Saccharomyces cerevisiae S288C: one gene and its partner. The protein of the gene in region 1 interacts with the protein of each later gene in a biochemical or structural test. Each region holds a gene or a part of one and is shown on either strand. Other genes may lie near its edges.

Region 1 (3,762 bases):
ACTGAAACCTGTACTTTCAGTGATCATTCTAATATCGATTGCCGTAACCGTTGTTCTTTACTTTTTAACGGCGAATGAGAACTATTTGCAAGCAGTCAAGGATAGTGCCAAGTCCCAGTATGCTTCTCTCCGGGAGAGCTACAAAAGTATTACAGGTAAAACTGAAAGCGCTGATGAACTTCCTGATCATGATGCTGAGGTGTTAGATAGCATAATGGACAGGCTACACGAGCCCCTTTATGAAAAGGACACTTTTGACCCGAATGAAGTCCTTGCTGAAAATAAACAGTTGTACGAGGAGTTTTTACTTCAAGAAATTTCTGAGCCAAAGGTGGACAATTTGGTACGTAGCGGGGATCCGTTAGCCGGCAAGGCAAAAGGAACTATTTTGAGTTTGGTGAGAAATTCTGATTTAGAGGATATAATTTCTTCTATTCAACAGCTAGAAGAGGAGTACAATAAGAATTTTGGATATCCCTATACCTTCCTTAACGATGAGGAATTTACTGACGAATTCAAAGATGGAATAAAAAGTATTCTTCCTAAGGACCGTGTAGTAGAATTTGGCACTATTGGTCCAGATAACTGGAATATGCCTGATAGCATAGATAGGGAGAGATACGACCAAGAAATGGACAAAATGAGTAAAGAGAACATTCAGTATGCAGAGGTGGAATCCTATCATAACATGTGTCGTTTCTATTCTAAAGAATTTTACCATCATCCTCTGCTATCTAAATATAAATATGTGTGGAGATTAGAGCCAAACGTGAATTTCTATTGCAAAATTAACTATGACGTTTTCCAATTTATGAACAAGAATGACAAGATTTATGGGTTTGTTTTGAACCTCTATGATAGTCCGCAAACCATCGAAACGCTATGGACTTCAACTATGGATTTTGTCGAGGAACACCCAAACTATTTGAACGTCAACGGAGCCTTCGCATGGCTAAAAGATAACTCTCAAAATCCAAAAAATTATGATTATACTCAAGGGTATTCAACTTGTCATTTCTGGACCAATTTTGAAATAGTCGATTTAGACTTTTTGAGGTCAGAACCTTATGAAAAATATATGCAATATCTTGAAGAAAAGGGAGGATTCTACTATGAAAGGTGGGGTGATGCCCCTGTAAGAAGTTTGGCACTTGCTTTATTTGCGGATAAGTCAAGCATCCATTGGTTCAGGGATATAGGTTATCACCATACTCCGTACACGAACTGTCCAACTTGTCCAGCAGATTCAGATAGGTGTAATGGAAATTGTGTACCAGGCAAATTCACTCCTTGGAGTGATCTAGACAACCAAAATTGCCAGGCAACCTGGATAAGACACTCTATGTCTGAGGAAGAGTTAGAAATGTATTGAAGACATTAGCTTTGAGAATTTGTGCCGCTGCTTTCGAGAACGGCATCACATCTGGGGTTTTATGATTTAATTTAGGACGCACATAGATAGATATATATTATGGAATTAAGAAAAGTTTATAATGTAGCAACCTAAAAATGTTACAGGTGAACATTCATGGAAAATGAAATGTTTCTCAGCCAGTAGATAGTATTGTTGAAGGTATTATTGGTTTGAGAAAGCTACTCCTCAAAAATGTCACTTGATAATATGGAATTATAATGTCGTTATATTTTCAATCATTTCAATACAATATGGTAAACCGAAATCCAAAAACTTTACAATATCTCTTATCTATTGTTATTCGACATTCTTCCCGGGCCTTAACGGCTTCTTAACTAATATTACCCTAAACGGACAAATGGCGAAGGGCCCCATTCATTTACGAACAGGAAAAAAAGAAAGTGACAATACAGCCATAATTTGATGTACCATCTTAATCAGCATATGTTTTCACTAATATACTAAACCCATATGGATGCACGTTGAAAGCACTGTGTGAAAAGAAATTGTCAAGAAAGCCATATAAATGCTGAAAAACTTCAAACTCTCAAAAAGAGATAGTAATGGGTCGAAGGGCAGAATTACATCCGCAGATATTTCCACACCTTCTCATGATAATGGGAGTGTTATAAAGCATATTAAGACAGTACCAGTGAGGTACCTTTCTTCATCTTCCACCCCAGTGAAAAGCCAACGGGACTCTTCACCAAAAAACAGACATAATTCTAAAGATATTACTTCTCCAGAGAAAGTTATAAAAGCCAAATACAGTTATCAGGCACAAACTTCAAAGGAACTATCTTTCATGGAAGGTGAATTTTTTTATGTATCTGGAGATGAGAAGGATTGGTATAAAGCTTCAAATCCTTCTACTGGAAAAGAGGGTGTTGTCCCCAAAACCTATTTTGAAGTGTTTGATAGAACTAAACCTTCCTCTGTGAATGGATCCAATAGTTCAAGTCGGAAGGTTACAAATGATTCATTAAACATGGGATCGTTATACGCCATTGTTTTATATGACTTTAAGGCAGAAAAAGCTGATGAGTTGACAACTTATGTGGGAGAGAATTTGTTTATTTGCGCCCACCATAACTGTGAATGGTTCATTGCTAAGCCAATTGGTCGACTTGGAGGGCCCGGCCTTGTTCCTGTTGGGTTTGTTAGCATCATAGATATTGCCACGGGGTACGCAACAGGTAACGACGTAATAGAAGACATCAAGTCAGTTAACCTACCAACTGTTCAAGAATGGAAAAGCAACATTGCAAGATACAAAGCTAGTAATATTAGCCTTGGTTCTGTGGAGCAGCAGCAGCAGCAATCCATTACAAAACCTCAGAACAAAAGCGCAAAGCTGGTTGACGGTGAATTATTAGTGAAAGCATCCGTTGAATCCTTTGGGTTAGAAGATGAGAAGTATTGGTTTTTGGTTTGCTGTGAATTATCTAACGGTAAGACGAGGCAACTGAAAAGATACTATCAAGATTTCTACGATCTGCAGGTTCAACTTTTGGATGCGTTCCCAGCAGAGGCCGGTAAGTTGAGGGATGCAGGTGGACAATGGTCCAAACGTATAATGCCCTATATCCCTGGACCCGTTCCATACGTTACCAATAGCATAACAAAAAAAAGAAAGGAGGACTTGAATATATATGTGGCAGACCTAGTGAATCTTCCCGATTATATATCTCGCTCAGAAATGGTGCATTCCTTATTCGTTGTTTTGAATAATGGTTTCGACAGAGAATTTGAAAGAGACGAAAATCAAAACAATATTAAAACATTACAAGAAAACGATACAGCAACCTTTGCAACAGCATCTCAAACTTCTAATTTTGCCTCAACTAACCAAGACAACACTTTAACTGGCGAAGACTTGAAGTTAAACAAGAAACTCTCAGATTTATCTTTATCGGGCTCCAAGCAGGCTCCAGCCCAATCAACTTCTGGATTGAAAACTACTAAAATTAAATTTTATTACAAAGACGATATTTTTGCTTTAATGCTGAAGGGTGACACAACCTATAAAGAACTTCGTAGTAAAATCGCTCCAAGGATTGATACAGATAATTTTAAATTACAAACCAAATTATTTGATGGTAGCGGGGAGGAAATTAAGACTGATTCACAAGTCAGTAACATAATCCAAGCCAAACTGAAAATTTCCGTTCACGATATTTGAATCTAGTGTTAGAAGACGAAGCATTTTTCTTCTTTACTTGGCAGATGCACATAGGTTGAACATTTTAATCAACTTTATGATGATTTGCGAGAGTAATAAGATTCTCCCGAACAGTAATAATATTAAGGTATCCAATTCTTCCGAAACAGCGTGATTTGTAATAAAA
Region 2 (2,977 bases), on another chromosome or scaffold:
CCTAGAATTAAATGCCAGAAAAATGGAAATTTATTCTAGACAAAAATTGTTCGGCACCTCTACAGACGTTTAACGAACCTGGTCCGGCCTTTGAGGCGATCAAAAAAAGGCCCATTTTTGTGTTCCGCGTAATTGGTTTGCGCCTTTCCATGGAGCTTGGTGGGCGACATTCTCAAACTGGTTTCCTGATACATCATGCACGCCCGTAAAGGGTTTAAGTATTGATTGCTAGCCTGAATGTTTCATATGCATACCGTGTCTATGCAACGAATATATTTCAGAAAAAAGCACGAAAGCCAAATTTTTGATGTTAAGAGGTGTTTTTGCCCGTAAACGGAGAAGACGTGGTAGGACTCGCAAATGTCGCGTTTAGCGTTGAAGAACATGGAAGTATTGAACGTTTGGGGCTTGACGGCTCGACTTTTTTGCACTACTCCGCCTTGAACAGACGGATGATCCTGGCGCAAGAAACAAAGAGAATCAACTCTGAGCAAAGCGAAAAAATGAAATACAACGATAATAAAAGGATAGGAAGGTGTATATATAAGTTAATTTTAGATATAGATTAAGAAAAGATGGGCATATACTAATATGACTACAAAATTGCACATTTTTTACTTTTCTTGATAACAGGAGGCTCCAAGGCGGCCACGATAGCTTCATCGAATACATTCTTCAAACCGCGTTGTGTTAGTGCCGAACACTCGACATATTTTACTGCTTTCAGTTCTCTTGCTAACCTGGAACCTTGTTCTGATGTAATCGGACGTAATCTTTGTCTTTGCAACTTCTCGATGATTACCTTGTCATCCCTTAGATCAATCTGCGTACCGACGACCAGGCATGGTACACCTGGACAATGGTGATGTACTTCAGGGAACCATTTTTCTTTAACGTTTTCAAAAGAGGGTGGGGAAATAACACTGAAACAAACCAAAAATACATCAGTAGAAGGATATGACAAGGGTCTCAATCGATCGTAATCTTCTTGACCGGCCGTATCAAACAAACCTAACGTATATGGTTCATCACCAATCATCACAGTCACCGCATAGTTATCGAACACTGTTGGAACATAGTCGGCTGGAAATTGATTCGTTGTATAGGAGATTAGAAGGCACGTTTTCCCAACAGCACCATCACCGACAACAACACACTTTAGCGTTTGCATTTTGTGGAAGAGCTAATACGTTTATTTCTTGTTTTATAAGTTTTGCTTCTCTAATTCGTTTGTTAACCTATCTCCTCAGGAAAATAGAATAGTATAATAAATAACGAATATAATTTTTTGCGACAAAGGAAACCTATTGCAAAAAGTGAAGAATGACAGAGAAGGATAATCAGTATATCTCGGTACACCTGGAACCTATTTATCAAAACGCTGCTCTTGCCTTTTCCAAGAATCGCGTCTATCATCGATCAATCAACCTTGTTTGCTTTTTTTTATCACTTTTTCCCGTATCTTGTTTCATTTGGAAGGGCCCAATGGAAGCAGTATTACCCGTATTGAATGACCCTTGAATCGACGGTGGAAGACATCTTTAATGCGATGTTTAGAAGACAATGTGCCGTATTTACCTGTATATGTGGATTATCTAACAGTCTACAATACAAAATTAGGTGTAACGTAGCTACAACAGTTGATAGAAATAATGCAACTTTTTTTAAAAAAAAAAGAGAAAGTGCTCGAGGTGGGGATTGAACCCACGACGGTCGCGTTGCTTTTAAAGGCCTGTTTGAAAGGTCTTTGGCACAGAAACTTCGGAAACCGAATGTTGCTATAAGCACGAAGCTCTAACCACTGAGCTACACGAGCATTTTCGAAAGAGACGTAAATTAAATTGTTATTTATACCGTAGATGATTGTTTTTCACGAAATTACCCTTTTGAGTTCCGGCTTGTTTCGTTCAACAGTACTACCACTGATAAGTTAGCTTCATTATTGGAAGAAGGTTGATAAATGAAAGAAGATTCACGACTATGCACGGCAACTGGTAAGTAATACACGGGCCCAGATATTTATTTTAATTCTTGGAAAGAAAGTATAAATTTATAGGTTCGCTATCAGTAAGTATACGAATTTCAAACTACGTCATATATAATATCCAAAAGAAGATGAAGGCGATGCGGTCACTCTAGGACTACAACTTATCCATCGCCTCATTTAGTGCATTCACCGCAATGTATACATCTGAAAATGTATTATATAAGGGAGCAGGAGCCAATCTAATTACGTTTGGTCTTCTTGCATCGCCAATGACACCATGGTCATGCAAATATTGGAAAACTTTGGGCATAATATCCTCTTTTCCAGTGTCAGAATCGAAGTAAAGTGACAATTGGGCGCCATGTTCTTCATCTGTGCTTGTTGGAGTTAATATTGTAAAAAAACATGGTAATTTCTCGATCCTTAAAGGGTGTTTGTAATACTTGGAGGCTTCCAACAGTTCCGTCATATAGTTCGTCAGCAACAACGATCTTTTACGAACTTCATTAATACCATTAAACTTCGCAAATAATTCCAATGAACTTCTCAATGCCACTGTGTCAATAACGCTTGGATTAGATTGCCTGAATCCCAATGCTCCTGGAATCGGCTCGAATACTTCCAGCATTTGAAATCGCTTAGCAGGATCATTGCCCCACCAACCAGCTAATCTTGGCAAACTTTCCTTAGCAGGGTCTGGTTTAGTATGCTTCGAGTGGACAAATAAGCCACCAATTCCACCAGGCCCGGCATTCAAGTACTTGTAAGAACACCAACAGGCAAAGTCAACACCCCAATCATGAAGTTGCAATGGGACGTTCCCTACAGCGTGTGCTAAATCCCATCCAACCAATATGTCGGGGAATTGGTGGGCAAATGAGGTGATTCGGCCAATATCGAAATATTGCCCCGTGTAATACTGAACACCTGACAAACAGACCAGCGCCAATTCATCTTGATTTACCTCTATGGTATCCAGGATATCTTGAG

Evidence for each region. Proteins that work in one complex are often made in the same cells at the same time.
Region 2: the proteins of BEM1 (region 1) and CDC42 form a complex in vitro, tested with the Saccharomyces cerevisiae proteins (3 studies listed by BioGRID).

The regions. Positions count from the first base shown.
Region 1 is NC_001134.8:618,932-622,693, forward strand, and holds BEM1 (phosphatidylinositol-3-phosphate-binding protein BEM1), read left to right. Parts: upstream 1-1,940; coding exon 1,941-3,596; downstream 3,597-3,762. Other genes in the region: KTR4 (putative mannosyltransferase), read left to right, coding at 1-1,372.
Region 2 is NC_001144.5:603,617-606,593, forward strand, and holds CDC42 (Rho family GTPase CDC42), read right to left. Parts: upstream 1,172-2,977; coding exon 596-1,171; downstream 1-595. Other genes in the region: BNA5 (kynureninase), read right to left, coding at 2,142-2,977. UniProt on the Saccharomyces cerevisiae protein: Involved in development of cell polarity during the cell division cycle, and essential for bud emergence. Affects signaling in the pheromone-response pathway through the STE20 protein kinase.